Linked DNA regions of Canis lupus familiaris. The protein of the gene in region 1 purifies or fractionates together with the protein of each later gene. This does not show direct contact. Links are inferred from orthologs where the notes say so. Each region holds a gene or a part of one and is shown on either strand. Other genes may lie near its edges.

The links. The genes of interacting proteins can lie anywhere in the genome.
Region 2: the proteins of ARID1A (region 1) and BCL7A purify together in Homo sapiens (affinity purification with mass spectrometry; 5 studies listed by BioGRID and IntAct, counting the BioPlex papers as one, with this or other methods). This does not show direct contact. The link is inferred for Canis lupus familiaris from reciprocal best matches to the Homo sapiens genes ARID1A and BCL7A.

Annotation. Positions count from the first base shown.
Region 1 is NC_049223.1:72,791,341-72,801,824, reverse strand, and holds the start of ARID1A (AT-rich interactive domain-containing protein 1A), read left to right. Parts: upstream 1-3,659; 5' UTR 3,660-3,674; coding exon 3,675-4,814; intron 4,815-10,484. UniProt on the Homo sapiens protein: Involved in transcriptional activation and repression of select genes by chromatin remodeling (alteration of DNA-nucleosome topology).
Region 2 is NC_049247.1:7,520,165-7,530,417, forward strand, and holds the start of BCL7A (B-cell CLL/lymphoma 7 protein family member A), read right to left. Parts: upstream 5,704-10,253; 5' UTR 5,521-5,703; intron 5,184-5,520; exon of another isoform or gene 5,103-5,183; 5' UTR 5,099-5,102; coding exon 5,007-5,098; intron 1-5,006.

The sequences.
Region 1 (10,484 bases):
GCCTCGGTTCCACATTTTGCAGTTGACTGCGTGGATTTTAATAGGTTGTTCCTTTATTTTCGGGCCCAATCCATGCACACTGTACAAGCCGGATAAAATGAGAGCACATCCTCTGCCATTTTCAGGCGGTTTGCCCTGGCAGCCCTGCCCCCCTCCTTGGCTGCCGCAGCCGCTGGAGTTAAAGCTGAGCGCCGAAACTCCGCCTGATCCGTTGGGCGGGAGATCCAGTCCACGTTTGCCAAGTGCTGTGCGGTCGGGGATGGCGATAAGAACTCTCTTGTGAGGGAGTGAGCAAGACTTTAGTCCGGTTTCCATGTCAACGATTCAGTCCATATTTGCCATCAGGCTGTTGGTGGCTGAGGCGCTTTCGTGAGGGTAGCGCTGTCCTAGTCCTAGTTCTCCAATCTGCGCCGGGATTCCTGAGCTGCCTGGGTGTGGGGTTAAAACACTGGGGCTGTGGGGGAGAAAAGTCCACGGGGAGAACCCGCAGCCCCAAACCTGGGTCCTGGAGCTCCGGCCAGCCACGTGCCCAGTACCTCCCCTCCCCCCTTTCCCGCTGCCATTGCCCCTAGGGAAAGCTGATGGGCCAGTTTCTAAGAAAGTTCCCTTCAACTCGGGAGTCCTTGGGATAGTGGCATAGGGCTCTAAGGGTAGGGGTGGAAGAGAATCCTAAAGGATTGGAGATTTAAGACAAATGGAAAAAGAGAAATTCCACATTGCCTCCTCCAGCCCAGGTGGATAGATTGTTAAATGCACTTTACCTTGTTGCTAGATAAAAATGGTGGCTGTTTTCAAAACAGCTCGCCCACGTGTAGGAAAGGGATTTGGGCACTTTCCGAATTTCACAACCATTGAAAAAGGGATGAGGGCTTTCTCTGGAGACAGATCCATTTTGGCTTCCAGATTTTCACTGGGCTCCAGGTTTCCCATTACACTCCAGCTCTGAGGAAAATGGCAGGGTAATTGCATGTAAAAAGTCCTCATTTGTGTGCAGGACTCAGGACTGTTTGCCAGCTCAGAAGCAGTTGATTAAATAGCCAAGCTCCATTTATGAGGCAGCCTATAATTTGGTTTCTAGGACCTAATGCACCGGGAGAGTAGTTGCCCCTGAGGACTTCAGTGAGTGAAACGAGGGCACTGGCCCATTCCAGTCAGTCAGAGCCTGATAGTTTGATTCTTGGCTTGAGACAGAACCCCCCCACCCCCACCAGTCTTAGATTAACAAGAAGGTTTTGCCTTTGTAGTGTAAGATCATATTATGTTTTCTTCAGAGTAGGGATGACTTCAGGTTTTTGGAATTACTCACGGTGACCAGTGGCATGGCTAGAACTTGTCGAAGGGGCCTGCATGATCTGGAAGTTCTAATATAATGGATCTGTGGCCATGAAGTCTCCATTTATAAAATCTGAGGGGGAAAGAGGCTCTGGTGTCTAGTGACTATAGCCTGGGCCTCTCCTAAGGCAGCCTTGGGCCTGGTGAGGAGCTGGAATCCCCTCTGGCTTTTGTAGCCTGTCACGTCAGAGCATTCCAAGTCAGCATGAGGAGGAAAAGGCTGCTGCTGGGATTTGATAGGGCCTGTAGCTCTATCTAGAGTTTTCTATGTATACCTCTAGCTCAACTGGCATCTCTTGGAATATAATAGTAAACTTTGAAGAATCTTTACACTGGAGGATAGAAAACAAATTTAGTTGCATCCATTTTCTAAGTGACCTGTTAGACTGCCCCTTTTCTCTCTTTAAGGAGAAAATGGGGGGCACCTGGGTGGCTTAGTGGTTGAGCATCTGCCTTTGGCTCAGGTCATGATCCCAGGGTCCTGGGATGCAGTCCCTGCAGGGAGCCTGCTTCTCCCTCTGCCTCTACCTCTGCCTCTCTCTGTGTCTCTCATGAATGAATAAAATCTTTAAAATAATAAGAGAGAAAACGGATTCCCTCCCAGCAGCCATTCTTCTTCTGCACTGGTGCCTTTGAACAGTTTCCTCCAGTCCCTGGAGCCTCTTCTGTCCACTGCTCACATTCTTATAGGTATTGTCTTCAGAGACTGGGACTATTGGTCATTGTGGGCTAAGTTCTCCCAGGAGGAAAAGATCGGGCTTGAGTTCTCCTGAGAAGGCTGTCATATGCCCCCAAAGTAGTTTCAGTGGTCATCATCTTATGTCGGCGTTGAGATGATCTAAGGTTGAGATGATCAGCTTTGATCTCAAACCCATTCTTCTGTTCCCATTGTTGGATACGGCACACGACTTGATTGCTTTTTTTTTTTTTTTTTTTTAAGGCTAAGTAGATGGGAAAACTTGGGGAACTTGGCTACTTTTTAAAATCACCCTCTGCCCTCTGACAGGGCAGTCCCTTTCCCTCTGTGTTCCAATTCTCTAAAATGGGGATAATCGGACCTCATGGCCCCCCAGGCCCATGGGCCTTATGAGGCCGGGCTAATGAGGGTAGGGGAGTGGGAAAACGGAAAGTCTGAACAATGATCTGTCATTCCGTTGGGCTTGCAAAGGGGATAAAATGTAAGGCCCTGCTCGCTCACTCAGCTGGGTCTTTAAGACCGGGTTTGTAAAAGGCTTTGAAGAAAAGTGCTGTAGAGGTGCTAAGTAGCAGCCAAGAGACCAGGCCCGCTGCCAGGGGGTCAGGCCTGGGCCGAGGCGGCCGCGGTCTCGGGCTCTGGCCAATTTTGCAGCCGCGAGTAAAGTTCACGCTGCCCGCTCCCCTCGGTGCGGCCTGGAGGGGACCGACCCGGATAGGAACGCCAGAAGGGAGGCGGCGCAGGCTCCGAGAGGCGCGGGCTCCGGGCCGGGTTTTCCCCGAAGCCTTCAGCGGCGGCGCTGCCGAGCGAAAGCGGCAGAGGGCCTGCCGCCGCCGCGGCTCGTTCTCTCCCCTCCTCCTTTGTGAGGGGAAGGGAGCGAGTCCGTTCCATGGCCTGCGCCCGCTCCGCGCTCCATTCCGGGTTTGCCAGGCGGCCGCGACGGCGCTGGGTAAAATGGCAGTGCTGAGCCTCGTGTCGGAGTGAGGGGGACTCGGAGGAGAGTGGGGCGCTCTAGCCGCTCAGTCCGGCCGCCCGCCCGCCCGCCAGCCCGCTGCCGCGCAGCAGCCTCGGCCCGCGCCGCGGCCGGGGAGGGGAGGCAGGGCGCCCGGCCCGGCCCGCGCTCCGACTCTGCCTCCCGGCGCCCGGGCTGCTGCCGCGCGCCCTCCAGCCCGCCCGTCCCGGGTCCCCCTCCCCCCGCTCCCTCCCTCCCTCCCTCCCCGCCCCCTCCCCCTCGCCTCCCTCCCTCCCTCCCTCCTCCTTTCTCCGGCAGCAGAAAGCGGAGAGTCACAGCGGGGCCAGGCCCTGGGGAGCGGAGCCTCCACCGCCCCCCTCATTCCCAGGCAAGGGCTTGGGGGGAATGAGCCGGGAGAGCCGGGTCCCGAGCCTACAGAGCCGGGAGCAGCTGAGCCGCCGGCGCCTCGGCCGCCGCCGCCTCCTCCTCCTCCGCCGCCGCCAGCCCGGAGCCTGAGCCGGCGGGGCGGGGGGGAGAGGAGCGAGCGAGCGAGCGCCGCGCAGCAGCGGAGCCCCGCGAGGCCCGCCCGGGCGGGTGGGGAGGGCAGCCCGGGGGACTCGGCCCCGGGGCGGGGTGGGAGGGGGGGAGAAGACGAAGACAGGGCCGGGTCTCTCCGCGGACGAGACAGCGGGGATCATGGCCGCGCAGGTCGCCCCCGCCGCCGCCAGCAGCCTGGGCAACCCGCCGCCGCCGCCCTCGGAGCTGAAGAAAGCGGAGCAGCAGCAGCGGGAGGAGGCGGGGGGCGAGGCGGCGGCGGCGGCAGCGGCCGAGCGCGGGGAAATGAAGGCAGCCGCCGGGCAGGAGAGCGAGGGCCCCGCCGTGGGGCCGCCGCAGCCACTGGGAAAGGAGCTGCAGGACGGGGCCGAGAGCAATGGGGGTGGCGGCGGCGGTGGAGCCGGCGCCGGCGGCGGGCCCGGCGCGGAGCCGGACCTGAAGAACTCGAACGGGAACGCGGGCCCTAGGCCCGCCCTGAACAATAACCTCACGGAGCCGCCCGGCGGCGGCGGCGGCGGCAGCAGCGATGGGGTGGGGGCGCCTCCTCACTCAGCCGCGGCCGCCTTGCCGCCCCCAGCCTACGGCTTCGGGCAACCCTACGGCCGGAGCCCGTCTGCCGTCGCCGCCGCGGCGGCCGCCGTCTTCCACCAACAACATGGCGGACAACAAAGCCCTGGCCTGGCAGCGCTGCAGAGCGGCGGCGGCGGCGGGGGCCTGGAGCCCTACGCGGGGCCCCAGCAGAACTCGCACGACCACGGCTTCCCCAACCACCAGTACAACTCCTACTACCCCAACCGCAGCGCCTACCCCCCGCCCCCCCAGGCCTACGCGCTGAGCTCCCCGAGAGGTGGCACTCCGGGCTCCGGCGCGGCGGCGGCCGCCGGCTCCAAGCCGCCTCCGTCTTCCAGCGCCTCCGCCTCCTCGTCGTCTTCGTCCTTCGCTCAGCAGCGCTTCGGGGCCATGGGGGGAGGCGGCCCCTCAGCGGCCGGCGGGGGAACCCCCCAGCCCACCGCCACCCCCACCCTCAACCAACTGCTCACGTCGCCCAGCTCGGCCCGGGGCTACCAGGGCTACCCCGGGGGCGACTACGGCGGCGGGCCCCAGGACGGGGGCGCCGGCAAGGGCCCGGCGGACATGGCCTCGCAGTGCTGGGGGGCTGCGGCGGCGGCGGCGGCGGCGGCAGCAGCCGCCTCGGGAGGGGCCCAACAAAGGAGCCACCACGCGCCCATGAGCCCCGGGAGCAGCGGCGGCGGGGCGCAGCCGCTCGCCCGGACCCCGCAGGTACACAGCTGAGTGGGGAGGGGGCCGGGGCGAGCGGGGTCCTGGGAGTGGGTGGCGGCTGCGGGGAGCAGGCCACAGCCTTGGGCTACCCCCAGTCCGGGGCCCCCACTGCTGGGGAGCTGCCATTGTCTGGCTCTTCTCTTAAAATGGCTGCCTGTCTGCCTTCCTCTCCTTCCCTCCTTCAGCCTTTGTGTGGGGCTTTCCCTGAGGTGTCTGCTCCCCTTCTCCCTCTCCCCTGGTCCCTTCGCGCTCCTGGGGTCTTCGAGGGGGTGCGGGGCAGAATGTGCGGGGAAGGGCCTGGCCCGGGGTTGAGGGGTGTGTTGGGGGCTCAGGTTGGGGTGTGCAGAGCTAGGAGCTCGGGAGTTGAGTGAACAATTCTTTGCTCACCTGCCGCTCCTCTCTGCCCGCCCTCCTGCCTTCCTCTAGGCCGTTCCCCATCTGTGCTTTCAAGGAGGGGCCCCTCGGGCTCTGGGGTACCTCGGGGGAGGGCAGGGGCCTGCTTGGGGGCAGCTAAAGGCCGGCTGCGGTTCACCCAGGGCAGCCCGGGCCATCTCCTGTCTTAGTCTCCGTCGGCCCAGTGGCCTGGGCTTCTCCCTGGAAGTGCTGGTAAACAGCTGAGTGATTGGAGTAGTAAGTGCAGATTGCTTTGGTTTGGGATTTGAATTATGGAGGTAAAATCCTTCTGTCAAAGCCAGGAGACAGTTGGTCTTAGGTTGACATCCTATCTGTGATCTGATTGGCTCCCCATCTCCTGCTCTTGGCCATTTATAATTGCCTCTGATGTAATGGTACAACAATCCTGATGAGCTCATAAACTTTTACACTCTGCTTTTCTGCCAGTGATAACCCAAACCATCGCTGCCACTATCTGCCTTTTATTCCAGAGCTGAAATTGGCTGTGACCTTGAGGAGGAAGGTTTAAGCAGCAATACTGTATCAGCAGGAGCAGAGCCCCAGACAGGCTGCCCTTGTTACATTGTGCCGAAACAAAAGAGGAGGCAGTGGCATTTTGCTTGTACCTTGGATTTATTTTGCTTGTTATGTTTTATGCAGCCTGAAATAGATTCTGTGTTGTCAGAACAGTAGCTGAGTTTTTCTCTACAATGGGTTTGCTGTTTGTTTTGGTTTTGTGACTTTCCTGGTGGTATAAATGACTTCTTTGATGGCTCTGAAGATGCATTTGTCTTGAGTAATTTTGACCCTGTTCGCGTTGCAGAATTGAGATTATTTTACTGGGATTTTTATTGAGTGACAAATGTGGGATCTTTATGGGAGGGGGTAGAAGAAAACTTTTTTTTTCTTTTTCTTTTTTTTTTTTTTTTTTTTTGAACTGGAAGCTTCCTGAGAGAATTTCATATTACGTTCAAGTGTTCTGTTTTAAGGAAGACTGGCCTCATTCTTTGTTTACATGTTGAATCTTGTTAACTCTTTTGTTAATTGAACTTTGAGAAAGCAGCTCAATTTAAAGAGAAGCCGATATCTTTTATGATCTTGGGAGGGACTTTCTCCTAAAGGCCTGGTTTGGTAAAATTTATCATTTGTTCCTGGGATATCAAAAAGGCTAGTTTTCTGTTTTGTCATCAGTCACTTTAGAGCTTTGAGATAGAGGTCAACTAATTTTTTCTTTGCATTTTAAGGTATGTTCCATTGTGTTTTCTGTGTTCCAAGATAATGAAAATATCACCTATAATGATACTTGATACTTGCTTAGAAATGACAACATTTAGGTACATTTTTATGCATTCTAGTTTATTTTGCTCTTAATATCCCTTCATGTTCTTACTTCAGTGCTTTAGTCAAGAATATTGGGTATTCTGTGGAGTCCTGTATCTTTTCAGAGAGAAAAAGCTCTTTGTGCCCCCACCACCACCACCCTAGCAGTACCCAGTTGTACCTTCCTGCTATTAGATTTTGTTCACTGATGAGCCGTATTCCTTCCTCATCCTAGAACTGCTTTCCTCTTCTATTGAGCTGGGAATTATGAAAATAGCTGTATTAAATGGCAGATTTAGATCTCTGTGCCTTGACTCTACATTGTCTGTAATGTTCTGTGTTTGGGCAAGAAACGGAAATTTTAAATTGAATTTCTGGTGCTAGAGGATTAAGTTTTGTCTTAGAAAAGAGAGTATCCTCTTGTCTCTGGATAAGAGACCTATTACATCTTTTTCCCCTTGAGGGGAGAGGGTCTGAGCCATTTACCTTTCTTAAATTTTTAGAGGAAGTAATTTGGGTAGGTCCAGACTCATTTAAAAGCAAAAATTAGTTTGAATTATGTTGGTTTGAGGGTATTCAGGCATACACTTTGTTTTTGGGGGGGGGGATAAAACCAACTTTTGCCATATAGTGATTTCTGGTTTTCAGTCATTAAACAAATATTTGAGCACTTTTTATGTGCTAAGTACTATGCTCTGTGCTGAGTAAATGGTAGAAAAATAGATGTAGTCCCTCTCTGGAAGCTTGTCTGTGCTGCCTCTGGGTGAATTTTTTGGATTCACTTTTAACACTAACTGTTCTTAGCACTTCATGCAACATAAGTTCCTGTTCAATTTCAGTTCACTTGCTTACTCCCCTGATACCCAGAGAATGGGCTGGTGAGTGTTCACTTGTGGGAAGAGACCGTGCAACTTTTTCAGTTTTGTGGTAGGCTCCATGCGGCATGTAGGTGGATAGATTTTGATATGAATTCCTCTTTGCTACTTAGGGATAAATCTCTTGTCAGACGATGATGGCTTATTCTTAAGCATTCTTAAATAATAGGGTCTTGCTCTGTCCCATTCTCAGTCTTGGATTAAGACTGTTTTGCAGAGAATTGATTGACACAGCTAAGGTGGTAATGTTCTCATTTGACTCTTCCTTTATGAAATAAAGATTAGCTAAGTGTTTGTATTGTGGCTCTGTCTTTTTCACAGGAGCGGGAGGATCCCAGCAGGCAAACTTTTCCTTTATCGCTTTCCATAACTAATAGTGTGTCTCAAGGTGTTGAATCCTGCTACTGCTGAAATACTTTTTGGTCACCTATGCACTTGAACCTCATGTAAAGTTTTTTATTTGGGATGCTGTTAGCTCTCATACCTTGAGAGTAGTATCAGCTCATCAAAGTAAAAAATGAAATAGAATATGTAGTCCAGGATCAAGATGGATTTGATTGTAGAAGTTTGGCTGTTAGTTCTTGGTATAGAAATATAAAATGATATTTCTTACTCCTGGGAAACAAATACAAGAATCTTGGGCTTATTATGGGAATGCCTACTGGCAGAAATTCTGGGCTGGCTAAAATACAGGACTCTTGGAGCTCTCTCAAGTAGGAGGGACCAGGAAAACCACACTGAGACGGCACTTAGTTGTGAGGCTTCATGTTTCTCTACTGTCCATGAGAGAACTAGGGATGATGGGGGTTGGGATGGTGGCAAGTGAAGAGAAAGCATCAGAACCAAGGTTGGCTTCTTTGTATTAGGCCCTGCAAGGACTTTTTAAGGTTCCTTCCTTTGTATGTGACACAGAGTAAACCATGACAAGTGGCACCTGCTGTAATAAGATGTCTTGGATTGCATTAAACATTCATCTGTTGGATTGATTCCTGTAGGTGTGCTGTCTAAAGTAGGCTTTGGCAGCAAGGTTAGTGAAACTCTTTTTTAAAATGTGGAAATAGGCTAACAAAGTAATGATCAGGGCCCTTTCCCAATAGCTCCCCCACCGCCGCTGCCCTGCTCCCCCCTTCAAGGTTGTATTGGTTGGCTTCAAATCCCAAAATTCTAGAAGCAACTGAACCAAGCAAATGTCTGGTTAAAATATGGTATTCAAAATACGTTGGGACTGAATTGTTCTTTCCTGCCAGTGAGCTAGGATACCTTGGTCTTTAAAATGGAGTCCTGATTCTCATGGCTTTTATCTCTGGGTTTCTCCTTGTTTAGATTGGTCATTATCATTATTGATGCACACTGAGTTGTGTGTGACATAGTGGTGAGGGATTAAGAGCACAAGACTCAGGAGCAAGAGGCTTTGGTTCCACATGCAGCTCTAGATTGAGCTGTGTGATTTGGGGCAAGCCATTCACCTCGGTTTTATTTTCTCTTCATCAGTAAAGTGAAGTTGGTGGACTGCATGGCCTTCTTTCTGTCTGATGCTACATATTGGGCTGTGCTTTCATACCTGACTTAATTATGAGGGCAGCTTCTTCCTGTACAGGTACCGGTAGGGGTCTTGAGACTTATCTTTCTTCCTGTGGGCCTGAAGAACTCAAGGCTGTTTTTCTCCTAAGGATTTACAGGAGCAAGCTCTGAACAGTGGGTACCACAATGATCTGTGGCCCTTTACGGAAAAAGCGCTACCAGACTATTTTGCTTTGAAACTTTGTTTGTCATTAATCATTCCACCTGGCTGGTTGTTAAAACACTAAACATTAATTGAAAAATTGGGCAGACTTCATTAAAGCAAGACTTGAAAAACAGTTGCTTCAGAATCTCCAAGAGGGGATTTTGGGAGTAGATTCATGGTAGGGTAGGGAGTAGATTCTCTTAATATTAACACTTTGCATTTGGTGGGATAGAAAGCGGGGGAGAGATAGCCTTAAGTTTTCCAGACTCTCTGGGTGTTTGGGCAGGTCTAGGTCTGGTTTGGGCAGTTGATTGTAATCTGAGTGCCTGAACTTGCCCTGTAAGTTTTGCTGAGAGAGGAGCAAAAGTTCCTGAGACTGGAACAGGAAAAGCCAAGCATTTACAGGGTCAATTTCATAGGCCTGTTGCCTTTTCTCATACCTTTGGTTTTTTGAAACTACATGGTGTGATTTGCAGGTGATCCTGGGAATGATGTTCTCTTCTCCAGCACACCTGAATTTCCATTCTTTCTCCTCCTAGCTTAGTTAGTTTAGAAGTATAATTTAGGCATGTTAGAAGTATGCTTGAAGGGAGCTTTCCTTTATAAAAGAGGGGAAAAGGTAGAGGAAAAGGTGTTTGATAATTCTCTGCTTGACACAGCAGCTTCTTCCTTTCTGAAGGAACCAAATGTTTCAGAGCTTTGTGTAAATACTTGCTGAGCTGTCAATATGTACCCAGGAGGTTTCTGTAGTAAGATGTAAACGGCTCTATAGAATGTTTGACAGGCAAATTAATAAACAGTTTTCAAGCAAAGATAATGCTAGTCTGTTCTCATGTGGTGGAATAAAATAACATTGGAGAAAAAGAAATGTGGGTAGGGAAGAGGTAGTACTGGGGTTATGGAGACACGGAGAGATGATCTAAAAGAGATTGGAAGTGAAAAGATGCTGCCCTCGAAGAGAAGCCTCCATGGTCCTGGCTCTAGGCTAAGTTCAGGGCAATGGAGCCCCTGTTCAAAATGGATTGCAGTTTCAGAGTAAAAATAAACAGAAGTTTGGAAAGAAGATTCTAAGTTTCAGTATTGAGGTAAGTGTGCTCCAAAAACTTGGTTTATGAGACTTTGAGTTTGACTTATGAGCCTCGTTCTTTCGGAAAGGTTTTGTAGTTTGGTGAGATGTTTTTAGGGTTGGGTTTGCGTTTTTGGAATACCAGAAAGGAGGGGAAAAAAAGATACTGCAGCTTCTGGGTCGTCCTCGGCTTCTGTTTTGCTGTGGCTCTCAGAATTATAAGCCCACTTTACAGGTTGGGTTTATTGTATAGTTTTTACTGGACTCCTTCTGTGCATCATACATACATA
Region 2 (10,253 bases), on another chromosome or scaffold:
GAACCAGGACTGGGCACAGGCTCTGACCAAGAGCCCACTCTCTGCTATTCTATCTCCTGTGAAAAACTAAGAAATCATTCCACAGAGCACATCTCCGTTACAGAAGCTGGACAAAGAAACACAAATCACTAGCATCCCACGCAAATGGCCAAAGGCACTCACTACTCACAATCCCTCAACTGACTTCATGGGCCAGGGCCCAGTAGGTCGGCAAATCCAAGGTTTGTGCTAAAAACAAAAACAAAAGTAATTGACTTGCAAAACATAGGACGCAGCATCTCAAGGCAGAAAGTGTGCCAGATCTGGGCTTTGCAGCCTACATGCGAGCCAAGATGAATCCCCAAGCTGCACATGCTTCCCTGAGTGGTTGAGGGCCCTGCAACCTAAGGGCGGACACGGCCAGGTTCTCATGCCTCCCTTTGTTGCAGTTGGTGACCCCATGGCCTGAGTCCCCCAACTCAGCCCAAAGATTAGAAACCTTTCTTCAGTTGCCTTTCTACTGGATACTGAGGGGCTACAGGACGTAAGGAAAAGCATTAAGAACCCAACCTCAGGAATGGACCTGCGGTCTGGCCTTTGCCCACCAGCCCAGCAGGGAGACAAGGTCCTGGGCCTCAGGCAGTAAGTTAGAGCAAGCACCAGGCAGGACAGAATGGATTTCACAGACATGACCAGTGAGTGGGCTCTGAGTGTCTCCTCCTGCTGGCAGCACCTTGCGCTCAGAGAAACAGTGGAGTTCCTACTAGATCCCCGAACCTATCATCCCAGAGCACACAGCCCCTGCCCTCATTGAGGGAATTAAGCTGCACTCACTACTTCATATCTGGGGTGGCAAACAAGTGCCCAACAGGTATGTTTTGTCTGGTCTGCACACTCGTTTTTTAAATTTTAACTAATTGACAAGCTTTAAGAAGAAAAAAATCAGGGGCGCCTGAGTGGCTCAGTGGGTTAAGCGTCTGCCTTGGGCTCAGGTGATGATGATCTTAGAGTTCTGAGATCAAGCCCTGTGTCAGGCTCCCTGCCTGCAGGGAACCTGCTTCTCCCTCTCCTCCCTGCTTGTGGTCTCTCTTTCAAATAAAAAAACAACAACAAATAAATAAATAAAAAGTGAAGAAGAAAGAAGAAGAAGAAGAAAGACTACATAGAAATCTAGATTGCTGACTACTCTGATAAACACAGTGCCTTGGCCACAAGGGGCCCACGTGCCTGAGGAACAAGGACTCTCAAGGAGCTCCCAGCACTTACTCCCCTGGAGGCTTTGGACCCAGATTCAGCAGGCTGCACCCCCACCTTGCCACAAAGCTGCCTGTGGGCACACCCTGAGTGCTTCTGCCCTGCTGCTCCCCCACACCGTAACCAGTGAGGCTTAAGTATGTACCTTTCCCCCCTCCAGACTTGGGCTCCTGGACAAAAGGGGGTCCCAGCTATAGCAATAAAGCCCCAAACACTCCCCTGCCCCCAGCACAGGCTCCCATATAAACCACAAGCACCTGTCACAGATTGTCTAGACCAAGGTCAATTTCTAATGTTTTTCCCGGTCCAGGTCCAAAGGCTAGCCAAGGAGACCATCTTGGGGTCACTGCCCGAGGGGACCCCACTGGCTCCCTCAAAGAGACTGCAAATCCCTCACTTTGATTTCACCTCCCAGGGCTAGTCCTTGACACCTTAGGAGGTCTTGTCTATGACTGGTGTTGTCCTAACTAGGCCCAGGCTCATCTGCCCTGCCCTGCACTTGGCAGGATGGTATCCCCAAATGTAAAGTGGTGAGGGCCTAAACACGGTCAAGTTTCTTCCTCCCTCAGGGATGAGTGGGAAGTCTCCAGGGAACAGGACTCTCTCCTTCAGTAAGTCACTGAGGGACCCTTCAGACCAAGGGCCCAGGGGTCCCAGGGGTCCCAGGGCCTACTCTGTGGCTCAAGTCTTTGTCTCCCACCCAATGACCCTCCTCCCCTGCTCTTCTCCACCCACACTGGGCCCCTAACCCTGGCCCAGTTTCCCAAAAGGGGGCCCACCATTTTGTTCTTCTTCCAGCCATCTTGTGGCTGCTTCGCAGCCTACCAGCCTGCCTTGCTGGGATACCAGACAAGGGAGGAAAAACAGCTGGTGGCTAGGGATGGTGTGGTCACGGCTGGCTGCTGGCTTTTTCAAGGTTGGCAGAGGGGGGGATTTTTAGGGGTCACCAGGGCTGAGAAGAAATACTACCCTAGAGTTACGGAATAAATGGTATTCCAGATACCTCTGTTCTCTGGATAAAATATAGGATGCTGAATTCAATTTGAATTTCAGATATGTAACATTTACATAAGTATGTGTAAGTATGTCCCAATACTGCATGGGACATACTTACACTAAAATTTATACACATATATCACTTATTTTTATTTTATTTTTTTTATATCACTTATTTTTAAAAAGTTATTTCATTGTTTATCCAAAATTCAAATTTAACTAGGTATCCTCTAATTTTATTTGCTAAATCTGGCAACCCGATGTCCCCGCTACTAGTGAAACGCATGGTTGGTGGCCACGCAGTTAATAAACAACCCAAAGCCTCAAGGACTGACTGGAAGGACTATTCTGAAAGTACAGTGAAGGTGAGATTTGACTTCTCAAGGGCCAGGGAAACCCTGGAAATAAAATGAAGTATTTTTTGCTTAAAACGGGCAGGGAAAAAAGAAAAAAGAAAAAAAAATTAGCAAAACATAAATGTTACAGCATCCACCTTACAATAAGGACACCATTAGTGACTGTTCCTATTTGCAGGAGTAAGTGCTTTTGGAGATACGATCCTGTTCTAAGAAGGAGAAAGCAGCACTGAGACCCGGTGCTGCCATGGCTCAAGAAGTTTGTCCAAGGTCACAGCAAGAAAGTGAACTGGAAGCCTGGCCATTAGACCCTGAAGTCTGAGGTCTTTATCATAACCTGTTTCCCAAAACACAGGGAGGGAGGGAGGGAGGGCAACACGTTCTTGTCCCCTTCCCCCAAACACAGGCCTGGCCAAGTGAGCTAGGCAATACTGCCCGCCTCCAGGCTGCCTGTCCTGCCACCCACAGGGCAGAAAACCCCATAGCTCCATCTGCCCTCCCTGCAGAGCAGCTGGCCGACTGGCCCTACAGGAGCAGCTGTCAGGGTGCAAGAGCCTCTGTCCTGCTGGGAACCTGGAGCAGAAAGCTCCACCACGCCTCCTTGAACAGAGAAAGGCAGCTTGCCCCCAGCCCCTTTCTCACCTCCTGGGCCCTGACAGAAGGGACCCAGGCCCAGACACTGGTTCTTTCTTTGCACAGGCTCTAAGACAGGGGACAACCCTAGCCTTCCCTCTGGGAATCCCACCAGAGAGGGGACTGTGGGCTTGTTTTCCTGTGTGTGTTTTGGCCTTGCAGCTGTTACTGCCATTTTTAAATGGCTCCAGTTAGGCACTGGGCACCCTGCGTGCCCTGGGGAGCTCCCACAGCCCCCGAAAACTCCGATCTCAACTTTGGAAGGCCTCCCCTTCTCACGGTTCTGAAAATTCTTTGTCCCATTGGAGCCAAACCCAGCCCTCGGCCGGGCATCCGGCCATCCGCAGAGAGCCCTTTCCATAGGAGGCCCAGGGGCACGTGGACTTTATTGATTTTCCTCTTGCCTTTTTTGTTGGGTTTGACTCAGAAAGGACAGCTAACTTGTGATCCGGCGAGGCTGGAGGCTCACCCCCAGCGGTTTTTAGAGACCAAGGCCTTACTCAAGAAATGCCACCCCTGAACATAAACACACCCCACCAGGGGCCTGCCCAGTTTTTTAGGCTTTAAGTCAAAGGTCAGGACGAGCTGGCGAGGGCTGACACTCGGGACGTCGAGGCTGCTCCTCCCTCTCCCTGACCCAGGTGAAGCCGTGGGAAAAACAAATAATAATAATAAAGTTGAAATCAAGGAGCTGGGAGTTTTCAACAAGTCCGCCCGGGGGGATGTGCTCGCGCGGCGACGTGCTTGCGCCCGGGGCCTGGCCCGCGGCGGCCGATGCGGGGCCAGACCCTCGACCGGAGGCGAACACGTTCGGTCGCGCGAATCGCGACGAGGCGGCGCCGGACGGACCCCGGCGTGAGCCCCGGGAACACGCGCGGCCGACGCCGAACCTTCTCTCCCCCGCGCAGAGAACAAAAACAACGGCTCTCTCGGCACCACGCACACGAGCCGCGGCTCTGGGAAGGGCAGACTCGGCCGAGGAGCGGCTTCGGGCCAGAAGGGTGGGCCCGGGCCGGCTGGAAGGGGGTGCCCGGCGCCCCGGGCCCGGGCCCGCCGCCGCCCGGCGCTTCCTCCTCGCGCTCGCCCCCATCTTTCTTCCTCGCCCAGAGCCCTCGCTCCAGGCAGCCCAAAGCGCTAAATTTAAACGGCTCGCGCTCTGCAAACTCCGCAGACTCGAGGGCGCCCGGGCCTGGGAGGCGGGGAGCGAGCGGCGAGCGAGCCAGCCGGCCGGGGAGGGAGGGGGAGGGAGGGGGAGGGAGGCCCGGCGCGCGGGCAGGGGCGCGGGGGCCGGCGCTGCGCCGCCCGGGGCGCGCGGGGAGGAGACGGAGACGGCGGCGGCCCGCTCGGAGCCTGCACAATGGAGCTCGCGCTCTCCCCTCCGCCGCCGGCATCGCGGCCCCGGCGCGCGGGAAGCCGCTTTCATGTGACTTGCACAAAACGAAATGGCTTCTGGGGCCGGCCCCGAGCCCCCCTCCCGGGAGCCGAGCGCCGCGGCGGGGCCGGCCCGCCGCTCCACCCGCCCGGCCCGGGGCGCCCCGCCGCCTCCAGGCTGCCGCCGCCGCCGCCGCCGCCGCCGCCGCCGCCACCGCGCCAGGTGGGCGACGGGCGCGAGCGCACCTGGGCAGCGGCCACGGCCCCCGCCTCGCGCAGGTGACCCGGCTCGCGCGCCGCCCGCCGCTCCAAGTCCCGGGCCCGCGGCGCCCGCCGGCTTTTTGTATGTGCTCCGGGGGTCGGGGCGGCCGCGGCGCCGGGCGGGCGGGCGGGAGGCGGGCAGGCGCCTCCGCTTACCATTTGCGCACTTTCTCGATAGCCGCCATGACCCTCTTGATATCATCTTTGGCGCGGCTCCTGGTCTCGGCTCGAACCGACCTGCCCGACATGGTTCTGGCGGGGAGAGAGAGGCTGGGGGAGCGCGCCCGCCGGGTCCTGCTCGCGCTCCGCGGCGGCCACACTCGCGCCCGCCCGCCCGCCCGCTCACTCACTCACACACTCACACACACACTCTCTCACACACTCACACACACTCACACACACACACACAAAGCCGGAGCCGCCGCGCGCCCGGGGCCCAGTGCGCAAGCGCCGGGCGCCAGCTGCACCGAGCAGGGGGAGCAGCGCCGCCGCGGCCGCCAGCAGTGCGGCCTCCGGGCGCCCCGCCGCCGCCCGCCCCGCGAGCCGCCCCCGCCCCCGGCCCGGCGCCCGCGACCCCCGCGACCCCCGCCACCCCCGCGCCCCCGGGGGAGGCGGCCGGCGGCCCCCGGCTCCCCGCGCCCCGCCGCCCGCTCGGCGCGCGGACACTCACTCGGAGGCCGAAGGGGCCGCGGGGTGCCCCCCGCTCCCCGGGAGGGCGGCCGGCCGTGCAGGGGGGCGCACTCCTTGGGAGCCACCTCGGCTGCCGGTGCGCGGCCCCGGGTGTGCGTGGCAGCGGGTGCAATAATGCAAGTTTCCTGTGGGGCTCCTGACTTCTCGGAGTTGAAGGCGGCGATTCGGGATGCGAGGTGCTCTTGGAGAGAGTTGGGAAACCAGGATCTCGGCTGGCCCTCCGCCCTGCGCAGACACGCGAGCTGGGACGTCGCTTCCCTTTCCCTCGTCCTTTTGGAAAACTAGAGCCGGAGGGAAGATGCCAGGACCCGGGCGACCACTAGCCGGTCGACCTTGCCTATTAATAGCTTTCCGCGAAGGAACAGCTCATCGATGATCAGCGTTTCAACTGGGGCTCCTCTTTTCCCTCTGGGGTTGCTGTCAGAAAAGCACCATTTAAATTTGAAGCCACTCCTGACCAAAGTCCCAGCCTCCGACCAGATGCTGCCAGCGCACAGATGACCCTAGCAGGTGAAACGGGCTGGCCGGCCTACAAGGAGGACTTTTGGGGGTGGTTTCTTCCCGCATGGTGCCTCAGGACAGCTCTGGGGAAGAATCTGCAATTATCAGGATAACCCAGGTGCCACATCTTTGTGTTCAGCGGCCACTACACCGACTGGACCAGAGCTACTTTGGGCCCAGATGGTTGCTAGGGAAACTGAGTGACCCTAGTAGCAAACCCAGTGTCTCTTAGAGATAAGCTAGTCCAACACCAGTCATTTTACCCGGGGAAACTGAGTCCCAGGGAAGTTCAAGGTCACAGTCATAAGCTGGATCCCAGACTCCCACTCATTCCAGAACCAAGCAGTTTCCCCTGAGATTTAGGTTTTTTTTTTTTAATTTTTATTTATTTATGATAGTCACACACACACACACACACACACACACACACAGGCAGAGACATAGGCAGAGGGAGAAGCAGGCTCCATGCACCAGGAGCCGGACGTGGGACTCGATCCCGGGTCTCCAGGATCGCACCCTGGGCCAAAGGCAGGCGCTAAACGGCTGCGCCACCTAGGGATCCCGAGATTTAGGTTTTGGGGAGAAAAGCTACTGGGGAAATAGAATGCCTAATACGAAAAATAAAATAATACCTCAGTGAATCATTCTGAACATTATATAGGAAAATGCGTCACAGCAGGCTATAAAACATTGTTCTCTACTCTTGACCCTCTGATGGCTTAGGGCCACAAAGAACTTCTGAATATATATGTCTGAAAAAAATAGAAAGATTTTTGGGGCACCTGGTTCACTGAGTCGGAGAAGCATGCATCTCTTGATCTCCAGGTAGTGAGTTTGAATCCCATATCAGGTATAGAAATTATATAAATAAATGAAACTTAAAAAAAATAAAATAGGAAGATATCAAAAGTTCAAAAACCAGGGTCACCTGGGTGGCTCAGTGGTTGAGCATCTGCCTTCAGCTCAGGGTGTGATCCCAGGGTCCTGGGATAGAGTCCCTCATCAGGCTCCCTACAGGGAGCCTGCTTCTTCCTCTGCCTCTGCCTATGTCTCTGCCTCTCTCTGTGTCTCTCATGAATAAAGAAATAAAATCTTCAGAAAAAAAATAAAAAACCGAACTGGTGAATGAATAAATGTGTATACCCACACAATAGAATGCTATTCAGGTGTTAAGAAGGAATGAAGTACTGATACATCCCACAGCATGGATGAACTTTGAAAGCATAATAAGTAAGATAAGCCAGTCACAAAAGGACAAATATTATATGATTCCACTTACATGAGATATCTAGACTGGGCAAATCCATTGAGACAAAGCAGACTGGTGGTTGCCAGGGGCTGGGGGTGGGGGTGGGAATAGAGAGGGACTTCCAAGGGGTATGAGGTTTTTTTTTTGGAGTGATGAAAAAGTTCTGGAATTAGATAATGGTGATTACTGTACACCATTGTGAATATACTTAATGTCACTGAACTGTACACCTAAAAATCTTACAGTGGTCAATTTTATATGTATTTACCACAATAAAAAGAAATCCAAATATCCAGCTCCTCCAAAAGTAGTGGAAAATCTGCAGACTGGTCCCCCAGTGCTACATGTAACAATCAGCTGAGGGTGAGGTGCCCTGTGGCCCTCAGAGGAAGCTTTCCAGGTCACCAGTGTGTCACCAGGTCTCTTTACTCACTCACATTACCAGATGGCCCCTGGACGTATTTGTGTTCTTGATCTCTGATTAAACTATAAGGCTTTCTACAAATGTTCTTTGTAAATCTAGAGTGTCACTTTCTATAGTTCCCTGTCCTCTGCAGATATTTTTTAACCTTCCTTTCAACAAAGCACAGTTGTTTTACAATCTGTGTCTGATAATTCTAATATTTCAAGTATCTCAGGATCTGTTTCTCCTAGTTCTTGCTCATGGTATCCTATTTCCTTGTGATCAGCCTGGTTCTCTTTGGCCATGCTAGGCACTGTATTTTAAGATTTATTTACAGTGATAATTTGAGGCTTAGGACGAAGTTACCTGCCTCCAGAGATTTACCTTTGTTTTTTTTTTTTTTTTGTTTTGTTTTGTTTTTGTTTTTTAGATTTTATTCATGAGAGACACAGAGAGAGAGGCAAAGACATAGTCAGAGGGAGAAGCAGGCTCCCTGCGGGGAGCCCTATGTGAGACTCGATCCCAGGACTCCAGGATCACAACCTGAGCCAAAGACAGACACTCAACCACTGAGCCACCCAGGCTCCCCTACGTTTGCTTCTGATAGGCTCCTGAGGGCACTGCTATTCCAGGACTACCTACATCCAGATTCAGGGCTTCTGGGTCCCTGGGCCACCCAGATGATACAAATACAGGCTGCCCTATTGAGCTAGTCTGGTTTGCTTAGTATCCTATGCAGGTTGGAGGGGGAAGGTGTATCAGTGATGTGAGCAGCTGGCTAACAGACCTACACTTTTCAACTTTGTGTACAGTGACCCCATGTTGATGGTTTGAAAACACCATGAAGGGATCCCTGGGTGGCGCAGCGGTTTGGCGCCTGCCTTTGGCCTAGGGCACGATCCTGGAGACCCGGGATCGAATCCCACGTCGGGCTCCCTGTGCAGGGAGCCTGCTTCTCCCTCTGCCTGTGTCTCTGCCTTTCTCTCTCTCTCTCTCTCTCTCTGTGTGACTATCAAAAATAAATAAATTTAAAAAAAAAATGAAAACACCATGAAAATTGGCAAAGCTATATGTCAGGATCTTTTCCCCAACCCCACCCAAAGCTGGTTGGTAAACATTTACCAGCATACCAATAGGGTCTCAAATTATTGTGGGGCAAGTCTCATCTCCCACCTGGACTTTTATTTCTGGCCTCTTAGCTCAAAAAACCATTCATGCTAGAGTTCAAATATTCTAGACTGATTATCTGCAGGGTTAAGATGGCTTCTTTGATGGATTATCTTTCAGGGTTCTCTTTTTCCTTCAATTTCTGCTATTCCTTATTATTTTGTCAGCATGTGGTGGCTTTTTAGAATGTTTTCAAATACTTTTTCTACCATTTTTAGTAGCTTTTAGCTTGAGAGGTTGTCTGGAACCCTGGTTACCGGAAAATGGAAGTCAGGCTCTCTCTGAATGTTGGTTATTATTTTAGATATGTTAAAAGAGAGATCATAGGGTTATAGAAGTGAGTTATTTTGTTGTGGCTTGTGTCTTAACCTCTCTGGGCCTCATCTGTAAAATAGAATGGAAATAACACATGCCTCGTGGAGCTATCATGAGAACTAAACACAGTATTTGCCAAGGACTTAGAACAGTGCTTGGCACATAGTAAAAGTGCTAGAGACCAGAAAGTATTTGTTGAATAAAGGAGCTGGTGACCCCTTGCATCATTGTGACCCACGCTAGGTCAACTACCTCTCTTTCCTGGGCTGTTCAATTCAACCCTTAATCCACTGTTATCTGGGGGGTTGAGGAAGTTTCCACCTCTGGAGTGTGATACATAATTGTAAGGAAGTGCAGACCCTGCTCCAGCTTCTCGGCAGCCTTGGTCCTCACCTAGCAACTTGCAGCAGCAAGTTGTTTTCGTAAACAGAGATGCTTTGGTGTTTGGGGAGAAGGCCATTAGCAAAGGGAGAGTACCAAAGAGAAAGGACTATAGTCCCCTCCTCAGAGACAAGAGCCAAAGGGAGTACTACCGGGTATGAAACCCCTCTCCTATTGCAGAGAAGGACACTAAAACTCAGAAGTCACACAGCCAGTTAGCAGGCTTCTGGCCAGAACCCTACTCTCCTCTTGTGGTTTCCAGGATTCCTCACTCCACATCCATCATAAGATTGGAAGTCAGCATGGTGGGAATGTTGACACTATGGAAATTAGCAAGTGCTATACATCAGGACCCTCCTGGTCCTCCTCCACCCGGAGCTGATTGGCAAATGTTTACCAGCATACCACTGGTGGAGCCTAATGGGGTCCCAAACGATAGACTGGGGATGTCTTGAAAAAAATTTTTCTTTGACAAACTAGATACTGCAATCTGCCTCTCCATCTTTCTTGCCTGAAACTACAACTCAGATGCTCACCAGTTCAAATACTAGTTGATTGGCAATTTGCATAGCTGTCCATGCAACCAGTGGCTTGCCCACAAGTTGGGCCACTTCAGGTCATATAAAAATAAAGAAATAGTGGACATGAAGTGCTTTGAAATACTGATGTGTCCAAGGTGAGTCAGTGCAATCCAGAC